Linked DNA regions of Kluyveromyces lactis. Each later gene encodes a partner of the first gene's protein in a complex. Links are inferred from orthologs where the notes say so. Each region holds a gene or a part of one and is shown on either strand. Other genes may lie near its edges.

The links. Proteins that work in one complex are often made in the same cells at the same time.
Region 2: the proteins of RAT1 (region 1) and RAI1 are in contact, whole or in part, in a crystal structure (PDB 3FQD), measured with the Schizosaccharomyces pombe proteins. The link is inferred for Kluyveromyces lactis from reciprocal best matches to the Schizosaccharomyces pombe genes dhp1 and din1. Residues at the interface, in NP_594155.1 of Schizosaccharomyces pombe: Arg218, Val219, Pro221, Glu222, Asp318, Arg321, Leu371, Asp372, Lys789, Ser843, Phe845, Val846, His847, Lys848, Ser849, Met850, Leu851, Leu852, Arg853, Gly854, Lys856; in NP_594904.1 of Schizosaccharomyces pombe: Tyr45, Tyr46, Pro47, Ile158, Trp159, Asp160, Ala161, Cys162, Ser163, Arg164, Ile167, Glu168, Trp204, Asp205, Lys206, Glu231, His236, Glu288.

The regions. Positions count from the first base shown.
Region 1 is NC_006042.1:701,377-707,816, reverse strand, and holds RAT1 (ssRNA exonuclease RAT1), read right to left. Parts: upstream 3,863-6,440; coding exon 884-3,862; downstream 1-883. Other genes in the region: DNA-dependent ATPase FUN30, read right to left, coding at 1-301; Cu(2+)-transporting P-type ATPase CCC2, read right to left, coding at 4,205-6,440. UniProt on the Schizosaccharomyces pombe protein: Possesses 5'->3' exoribonuclease activity. Required for the processing of nuclear mRNA and rRNA precursors. May promote the termination of transcription by RNA polymerase II. Essential for vegetative cell growth and chromosome segregation.
Region 2 is NC_006041.1:1,139,868-1,144,275, forward strand, and holds RAI1 (decapping nuclease), read right to left. Parts: upstream 1,697-4,408; coding exon 542-1,696; downstream 1-541. Other genes in the region: BRR6 (Brr6p), read left to right, coding at 123-506; PTR2 (Ptr2p), read right to left, coding at 2,300-4,264. UniProt on the Schizosaccharomyces pombe protein: Decapping enzyme for NAD-capped RNAs: specifically hydrolyzes the nicotinamide adenine dinucleotide (NAD) cap from a subset of RNAs by removing the entire NAD moiety from the 5'-end of an NAD-capped RNA.

The DNA.
Region 1 (6,440 bases):
TTGCATTAATCAAAGTGGGTGATAGGTCCTTGTATTCTTGAACCAACACTTTTAAAGCTTGTTCATGCGATAAATCATTCTGAGAGTAACCATTTCTTGCTTTCGTAGCCGGTTGATACGTGAACTTGTCCCTCAAAAGGGAAGAAGTAGAGTTACTTGATATTGGCGATTCATCTATCCGCGTACCAGTTTCGGGCCTTAACGGAGAAGATTCTTCATTTGTCTGTAACAAGGGAGATGAACTTGGAACTTGAACTTCATCCTGTTTGTTCTGGGGACTTTTCGGTATTGGAAGATCCATTACAGTGAGATAGTGAGGGTCAAAAAATGCAATGAATAGGTGATCGAACAGCCGACCTTCAACACTCCAACTAAACGGAGTCTCCTAAATTTTTGCGATGAGCTTTGTTCATCCACTACTATGAAAACGCCAAAGTAACATTTTTGGTATTAATCATTTCACGAGTTTAATGGCTTTAGCTGAGGTTTTCATCATCAAAGGTTTGGCAAAGAAGAGCCCGTACACAAGCTGATAAAAAGTGAAAAAAAGAAAAAAGACTTCTCTTGAAAAACTGAAAAAAATACTCCGATACGGGGAGTCGAACCCCGGTCTCCACGGTGAAAGCGTGATGTGATAGCCGTTACACTATATCGGATAATTGTTATACAGTTGGAGAAATATTAGACACAGTAGTGAAACTACAAATCACGTGTATTTTGTATCCAGGTTCATGATACTGGAAAAGGAGTATCTGTGGAGCTGATCACTGTCGCGAATGCTTCTACTCCTGTTGCTCAGTAATATGCTTTGGATGTTGATGTTATAGTATGTATTACAAATAAATGTGCTGATATAAACGGGTATAAAATTGTCCACAGTTCATCATCTTCTGAATTCCCTTCTTCTATCGTTACTATTCGAGTATCGATTGCTATTACCTCTACTGTTGTTATAATGACGGTTGTATTTGCCGGTATTACCATTATTATTATCAGAATAACCGTTGTTACTATTATTGTAGTTTCCATTATTATACCTAGACTGTTGATATCTGCTGCCCTGTGGCTGTCTCTGTTGCGAGTGCATATACTCTCTATTTTGTTGCGGTTGTTGAGCATAAGCTGTCTGTTCTTTATGGAAGAAGAAACTTCTGTAACCTCCAACCCTGGGCTGATATTGGGTAATCCCCGATGGGCCAACAGGCACAATGTTGTATTTCATCATGGAAGGATTCCAACGGTTACTGTATTTATAAATGATACAGTCTCGGTCCTGTGGGGTAAGCATTGGTTGAGGTGGGATATATCCGTTCAATACTAACGATTTACATCTACCCGCAACCACAGGCTGCGTATACGAAAGTTTTAGGAATAAATTTGTACTCAAATCTGGCAAACCACCCCCATTAATAGGACATATCAGCTTGGAGTTTAGTTCAAACCCTTCTTCAGCTTGTGTTACGAATCCACTTAAACCAGATTTGAAATGTCTAAACTCTATCACGTTAACGGGGTTTTCTCCATATAAATTCTTCATAAACAGGTCGTAATTCACATTCTTGTTGCTGATCAAAAGTGCATCCTTCTTCCTAACATTTCTTGCCTTTTCTGAATCAGAAAGCTTAGAATATTGTTCTCGAACTGTTTTCAGTAAACGTGTTTCATCTATAAATGGCAATAGTGCAATACCCTGCCAAGCCATCTTTTTACCATTCATATCCACTGGGAATTCTTCAGGATAGAAATCTATAATCTCAGAGTTTGGATCTGACATTAATGGTCTGAATATTTCGGGTAGTGCGTGGCCTGATGCTGCTGGTAAAACACTCATTAACTGTTCGTATGGTAAGAATGGTTCACCAAGATCAAAGTGAATATCTAGATTTTTTATATTCTTGAAATCCTGAGCAAAAGGAGCATAATGGTATGGATAGTACCAAGTCCAAGACGCACATCCCTGATAATAATATAATAAAACCCATGAAATACCTTCCACATAGCACCTAATCACATCCTTTTGCAGAGCTGGAATATCTTTTGCTGGAACATGGAATTTATGTTGATAGTAACGATCATGATATCCAGGTTCGTAAAGTCTAACCGACTCATCGGTGTCAATGAACCCTGATTTTACAATACCGGTGTGGATGACCGCTGGTGGAACAGTAGAGCCTTCGTCTTCATCATAATCGGCCTCATCATCCTCAGGTTCATTGGATGTTTCCTTTTCAGCAGAGTCAACATCTTCACTTTTCCGTTTCAACGACAATTCTTCTGCATTTTCCTCATCTCTCATTGCCATCTTCTTAGCAATAAGTTTCTCCTGTAAGCTGGTAGCAGCATCGTAGTTCGCAGTCTTCGACAGTTGCACGCTATTTTTCAATTCTTCCGATGAAAACTCGACCACACCGCTATTCTTCTCACTTTTTAGTTTCAAAGCTTTAGCTGCTTCGCCATCACCTTCATTCGCCAAATTAATTTCTTTACGCATATTAGCGAAATCCTTATTAGACAAATTCAAAGAGCCTTCAGCGGCGTTGCCATCAACATCATAGACCGGCATATTCTCCAACGGAATCATAAAATTTCTGTCGACCTTGCCCTGGGAAACATTGGGGTTACTTTTCAATTTCTTTCGCCTATCATGAGCCTCTTGCTTACGAACTTCCTGAATGTATTTCTTTTTGAAAAGATCTGTTTCACGGTCTCCTAATTGTTCAAGTAAAGCTTCTACAGGTTCCAAATTGAGTGTACCATCACATGTTAGGTAGGTTTTTGTTTTGGGCAACACAGTCTTCCATATATCCACCAAAATGTCAATGCTATTCTCTCTCACATCAAGACAAGGTAAATGCGGTAGGAAATCATTACCACAGAAGAAACACATGAAAACCCAATCGTCGATTGCTCGTTCAAAATCAAACTGGAACGATAAATGTGGAATCGCTAATTCTGCTGAAAGATATTCTCTTAAAACGCTGATATGGAGCCATAAGAATGGCTTTTCTGAATCTTGTTGAATAAGCTGTTGTTTCTCTTCTTCAGATAAATTTATCATATCTTGAGGCTTTGGTTTTTTATAGTTGTTATTGGCGAACACATCCTCTCTTAATATTTTGAAATGAGGTTCGTGGGTTGCTAGTCCCAAAAAGATCAAATCTGCATCTAACCCATATATACAATGTGTTGTATTTGGATTATATTGAGTGTCTGCTCTTTGAGATCTAATGAAATTCATTATTTTATGTTCACCTTCACCTGGAACAGTAGCGTCACTTATAATAATTTGTAAATTTTTCCACCCGGGATCAGTTGCTAACTTGAAACTTGTCCAATATCTTAAAGCTGTAGCTAGTTTATCCATAAATGGGGTACCTGGAGTAATTGCGTTTGAATCCCATGTCTTTTTACTTTTGACATTTTCATCAATCGTCTCACCATAGTCCTCTCTTTCTCGTAATACTTGCTCTCTGGCTTCATTTTGGAGTTTTGCATCCCTTGCACTACGAAACCTACGTGCTCTCTGTTGATTCATCTTCGCTCTTGGTGCAACACCATCAACCGCTATCATCAAGACTTTTCTTGGTCTGGCCATATTCAAAACGCGATTTGTGTACTCAAACACAGCAAGAAGCATTTCATCCTCTGTTTCAGGTGGTGGCTTATTCTCCGGATGTGAACAAGGGTGAACAATACCATTCATATCGAGATAAAGGTTATCCAACTCACCATTGGGATTGGCCGAAGAGTAATCAAGCGGTAGTTGAACACCATCTTCGATAACTGGATATTCTTCCAACACAGGAGAAATGATTTTAGGATATTTCCTAGACAACCAACGAAAAAAGGACGGAACACCCATTGTGAGTACCTGGCCTTACTTCTCGCTATTTGTACCAACTGCCTATTAGATTACAGTATGCATTCATCTGTACTTCTAAAGTTATGTTCATCTCATCGATTAATTTTACTTATTGTTTATTGTTACCCGGATAAATAACTCAGCTCATCAACGATGTAGTGACAAACCGCTTTGAGTAACAATAATACCAGTAATTGCTAAACACAGCGCTTGGTTCACTGTACAATAAACTCATCCAGCGATTCTATTATACAATCTTTCGTTTATTACGAATATGAATTTTATTAATGTTATAATACAAGTACTGATATTTAAGAATTGCAATAGCGTAAATAGCTAAGGTTACATCAATCTTTCCTGAAGTTCAATATCATCACCTCTGTTACTGTTTCTACCAAATCTAAGCCATGACAATCCACCGGAAGCTTCCATTGATTTGATATTGAGTGAAGGCGGTGTCCACCTCTTCAACATTAGCGAACTGCAGACCACGGACACGGAACTTAGAGCCATTGCAGCACTAGACAACATTGGATGTAAAGTGATACCCCAAGGAGCTAATAAACCCATAGCAATGGGAATCATGAATGTGTTATAACAGACAGCCCAAAAGAAATTCAGCTTCACTCTATAGAATGTTTTACGCGCAATATCAAGTGCATAAACCAAACCTTTTAACGAATTATTTTTATTATCCGAATCAAGAATAACGATATCGGCAGCTTCGATTGCAATATCAGTACCAGAAGATATCGAAATTCCTAGATCTGCCTCAACCAAAGCCGGAGAATCATTAATACCATCTCCGACAAAGGCAACCCTCTCTGTACCGTTGTTTTGGAGTTGAATGACAATATCACGTTTCTGCTCAGGAGTGACTTCACTGAAGACATCATTAGCGGATATGCCAAGTTGTTGTGCCACTTTCAGAGCAGATTGATGCGCATCTCCTGTGACCATGCAGCATTTAATGCCCAAATTTTGTAAATATTCTACAACAAAATGTGCGTCTTCTTTGACCCTGTCAGATATTTCAAATTTGCCGACTAAACTACCATCGATGGAAACATAAGATTCTGTTAAAGTAGAAGAAGCGATATCACTCAAACTCTCATCGGGAAATAATTTCTTGTTACCTATGGTTATTGTATGGATTTTAGAAGTATTTTTATCTGTGATGTTACAGGAAATTCCCTTTCCAATGAGAACTTCCTCATTCGATAAATCCAAATCGAAAATGCTTGATTTATTTACGTGGGAATCAGCATAATTGACAATAGCTTTTGCAACTGGATGTTCTCCTATTGATTCACACAATGAAATCATCTTCCAGTGTAAATCAGATACATCACTGTTATAATTAATGAAATTTTCTACACTCATCCGCCCCGTCGTGAGGGTACCTGTCTTATCGAACAAAAACGTCTGTAGAGCACTACACTTCTCCAAAACATCACCACCTTTGATGAGAACACCATGACTAGCACCTACACCAGTACCAACCATAATCGCCGTAGGTGCCGCTAGACCCAATGCACAAGGACATGCAACAATAATTACAGAAATAGACATTTGCATGCACATGAAGAATTTGCCATTTTCACTGTTAAAGATGAGAGGAGGAGTCTTCATCGTGTAACTCACAAGCATCCAAGTTATAAATGTTATTGCTGATAGTGATATCACAAACGGGACAAATATGCCCGCCATCTTATCAGCGTATTTTTGAATAGGAGCTTTAGATAACTGTGCCTTTTTCATCGTTGCGATAATGTTCGCTAATTTTGTATCTTCTCCGACACGAATAGCTCTGAAGTAGAAATGACCAGGTCCATTGACACTCCCCCCGATGACTTGAGATCCGACGATTTTTTCCACCAACATCGATTCACCTGTGATTAGCGATTCGTCAACTTCAGTTTCATTACGAATAACAACACCATCAGCTGGTATTTTCATTCCTGGTACGACTTCTACGATATCATTTGGTTGTAACAATTCAACTGATATTTCCCTGGTAGAGCCATCTGGTAAAACTATGGAACAGGAGGACGGGGTCAAAGAGATGAGTTTACTCATTGCAGTTGAAGTTTCCGATTTCGCTTTATTTTCGAGTAATTTGCCCAAAGAAATAAATGTGAGAAGCATGACAGCGGTGTCAAAGATGACTTTTGGCATTTTTGTCGATTTATGGTAAATGCTAGAAATTATGGAATAGCATGAAAAAATATATGCACAAACAGTAGAAAGACCGATCAAAGTGTCCATTGTACCTGAGCCATGTTTCAAAGAGATCCATGCAGCTTTATAAAAATAGGAACCAACATAGATTTGAACGTAGGTAGTAATGATAATTCCGATGATATCTCTATAAAACAAGCCAATAATTGGTGTTTGTACGAATGGGAAATGAGTCAACACAGCTGGGAACAGCATCGGTACACACATGTACAACCCCATTATTAGAATAGAAGAAATACCACCTCTTATACAATTCTTCTTCCAGAATTGGATTTCTTTAGTTTTAGAGAGTAATGATAATTGTGTAGAATTATCCAATGTATTTGAAATAAAAGTT
Region 2 (4,408 bases), on another chromosome or scaffold:
TTCGAATCACTGATTAATATCTTGGGACGCACATTGCTTGGCCGGGTGTATTGAATAGAGCACCAAATGAACCAAGACCTGTGCTAAGACCTTGGGTTAAGAGCTTGTCATAGCCTCTTCTCATGCACTCAGTGAATAAATTGGTATTCCAGGGTTTACTTGTGGTAATAGTGGGATATTTCTGTTGGACTGTGCATAAAGATGTGCAATGGCAGTTATTGGAACAGCAATGGGTGGATATGAAGAAAATCTCTCAGTGCAAACGATCTTATGTTGAGAATAGATGTAGTGAGGGAATACGGCCGGCTTTAGCTGGGAAATGTGATGAATGGTGGCATTGTGCGCAGCTGGACTCGCACCCCAGCGTTCATCAGATGGCCAATTTATATGCCAAGACACTTGCACACACGTTAAATTCGTTTATACAGGCACTTGCCTTCAAGACAATAATAGTACTGATGCTATTTGTATTGCTTATATCAATTTCTAGTAAACTACTTCAGTAGTTTCTCTGTGTACATATATATCACGTATAAAGAAGTTACTTGCGAAGATCTTTTCTCCATTGTTTGAACGAATTTGATAGTATCTCTTCTCCTTCCACCAGCTGCTTGTATTCTTCGTCGTCAGACTCAATTTCCGTGAGTTTTAGGTGATTGTTCTCAAAGATGAGTTTATAGGCTTTAATTGTGTCAATATCGTCTTCTGGTCTTGGAATACTTGTCAATAACCACTCTGTGAAGGCACCATACCATTTTATGGCATCTACACACACAGTTTGCATCTGTGGGTTGTTGTTCTTCAATATTAGCGGTACCTCAGATGTAGTGAACTCCTCTACAGTTTTGAGCATGAAATTGTCATCTCTAAACCCATATATAATTCTGTTTATTCCTACTAGGAAACACTGTAACCAGGTTTTAAACAACTTACGTTCGAATTTATGCGCATCGGAAACGGTATTGACCATTGTGGTACATTTCAACTCTGCGTAATGCTTCAGGTTGTCATCTGAATCCTCTTTAAAATCAAAAATACAGTCCACTTCTGCACCGATCAATATCTTACATTTACCTATTCCTGTTCTAACCATTGAGATGAATTGGTCCCCATTGTTAATAATCTTTTTAGGTCTCTTTTCCAATGTAGTTCTGGGTACCAACGGTAGTGGCAGCGATAAGGTTGCAAGTGCTTCAAATTTGTAACCACTGTAATATGCCCTTGCCTGTAACGACTCCCTATTCTTGTTAATGGAGGTTTCCGAAGCGTCTGTCTTGACTTCCTTAATGAATAGTTGTCCATCAAACGAAACAATACGGAAATTTACCGGATTGAACTGTGATGAATCAAAAGCACTGGAGATGAGCTTCCGTATGATACCTCTGAACGTAATGATATCCACCTTCGTCTTCTTACTCTTACGTCTCTCATACTCTTCCAAAGTCGAAAGTAATCCATGCAATGTTGTAGAGTCGAATTCTTCCGTATTACACTCTTTGAACTTCTTGATTCCACTTAAAAGATCAAGCTTCTTGTCTAGATCCGTATCTGGCAAGTAATAGTATGCTAGCCTCGAATCATCGTTGACTAAAAATCCATTGTCCTGTGTTCTCGAATAATGACCTAATTCTTTTGGTTGCTTCAAAGCAGTAGTTGTACTTCTTTTTTGAACGAAAAGACTGGAAGATAGTACCATTATGCAAGAAGTCTATTCAAAGCTACCAGGTTTTCACGTTCTGAACTAGTCACCACTATAGAACACCTCCTCGTCAAATGTTTTCTTACATGTGTCTTGGTGATGAGATTCTTTTAAAGCTTTAAATGCATGAAAAATTTCCAATTGTAAAGGCCTTATTGTATGCTGTCTGCAAGATAAAAAGACAAAGAGAGAGTACGTTAAAATACAAAACAAATTATTTCCCTAGGAGGTATCACTGCAGGAAACTATCCTGGATAGAGATATTATAGAGCTTTTAACAATTCAATTGCTATTCATTACGTGTTTGATTACATGAAGGTTCTCTATTTATCGTTGATAATAGACTAGATACAGTGCAATGACCGGTTGATAATGATAATACAATAGTAATAATAATAATATAATATAACCAGGGACAAAAAGAAAATAATAAGATCTCGAAATAGTTCGTGATATGATTGATAATGGATCAAACATGGATTTATTCTTTATGTCAAGACATTAGTTTTTTATGCATTTGTCAGACTGTACTTCTGCCTTGCCAGCGATGAGAGTGTTCTCTCTTATTAACAAAGGCCAAAGAGGAGTTATAAAAGAACATTAAGCTGAGCGAGATAATTGATGCTCTAGATTTTGCTGTTTCTGTTGCTGTTGAACTCTACTGCGAACTGAGGAGACACTGTATAAAGCAGCACCTTCTCCGGTGACACCAACACCTGACAACATTTGTTCTTGTTCTTCTGTCTTGTAATCCAATGCATTCAAGGCTTCTTCATCCTTGTTGTAGTGGTGGAAACATAGCCAGAACAAACAACCAGCAATGAAACAAGCAACAGCCAAACCAGAGAATGTCCAGACGTACTTTGGATTTTCGGCTGTTGGGGACAAGGCGATACCGAGAGCAGAACCGACAGCGTTCGTGACCAAAAAGATGGACATGATGAAGGCTTTCATTGTGGCTGGGGCTTTAGAGTAAGCGTATTCCAAACCAGTAATGGACGCGAAAATTTCAGAAAGAGAAATTAAGACATAAGCAGGAACTTGCCAGCCGATATGGACTCTGTTTGGAGTGTTTGCGTATTCTGGTGCACAGGACATTGGGAAGTCGTAACATGGACCTGCTTTGTAAATAAAGTGTTGCAAGACAGCAGCGTAAACCATGGCACTAGAACCGAAACAGAAACCAATGAAGATCTTGGTAACTGGTCTGAAAGGAGTGAAACGTCTGATAAATGGGTAAATGAATTGTTCCATGATTGGGATGAATACAATTAAAGCAATAGAGTTGATAGCTTGTAAGAAATCATTTGGCAAACCGTGCAATTCCATAGTACCAGCTTGGGTAACGAAATTGTTAAGCATTTGACCGTAAACAACCCAGTAAATTGGGTAAAATGCGAAAACTTTACAAGCCTTGAAAGCTCTTCTAATTTCATCGATGAATAAATCATTCCATGGGTACTCCTTTTCTGGGTTCAAAGATGGAACGGCTCTATTCAAATTGAAACCGTTGCATAAACCAATCCAGCAGATTTTGAAACATCTTGCAATGACATGGTCACCAATGGGCCTCCTCACGTACTTCTTTCTACCAAACACAAGCACCACGATACCGACCCAGAAGAAACAGAAAGTTAACAAATAAGCAGCCCAGAAACCGTAACTAGCTTCTAAATGGGTGGTTGCCATGACAGATAAAGAACCAATATTAATCATCAAGTAGAAGAACATAAACACATTTTGCATTGTAACATTGGGATCTTCGATGACTTTTTCACCGTTCTTCAAAACCTTAATTCTAGGCCTTGTCTTTGGGATTTGATCTGCGATCAAGACGGACAAATTAGCTTTGATAAAACCAGTACCAATACCGATTATAATCAAAGAAACGATAAATCCACCCAACGAGGAGTTTTTATCGTTGATACTTGGGATTGCAGTCATAAACAAGATCAGGATACCAACAACATAGAAACTGGCACCAACACAGATAGTATTATATTTACCCCAGAAAGTATCAGCCAAATAACCACCTAACAATGGAGTAACGTAACACCAAAACTGGAAGAAATACGACAAAGCAGTGGCACCTTGTGATTTCAACTGCAAGACACCCTTTGGTGTGTCGTTAGGACCGTTTTGCATATAGTTTTGGAATGGTGCAGAAAGACCATAGTATGAGAATCTTTCAGCCAATTCAACGATGGCAATCAACCAACAAGTGAATGGAATCCTTTCCGACACATGTCTCAAAGTACTCAACTCTTCTTCGGTAGGTTCTCTTCCATTTTCGTTTTGGTTGTCATCTTCGTCTACAGCACCAATAAAATCGATTTTATCAGAACTAGCATGATGGTCCTTTGAAATATATACCTTGATGTCTGTGTTGTTTTTGAATTTTTCATCTTTCTTCTCACCAGTAAATTCATCATCACTACTAACTGTGCTGTCAACGTTCAATGCCTGACTGTTGTTGTTGTTGTTGTTGTTGTTGTTGTTGTTGTTGTTGATGATATCATCACTAATTTTGTCGTCTGTCAAGAAATCCTTTTCTGCGGCGGACATATTTGCTTGAACAAAAGGTACGGTGTGTGTGTCTTATAAGTTGAGAGATGGACCTTTATTGGTTGGACAAAAAGAAAGGCTGTAACCGAGAAGACAGATTTTTGACACAAATCTGTAGGCATACTCGGAAGGAGAATATGTCAA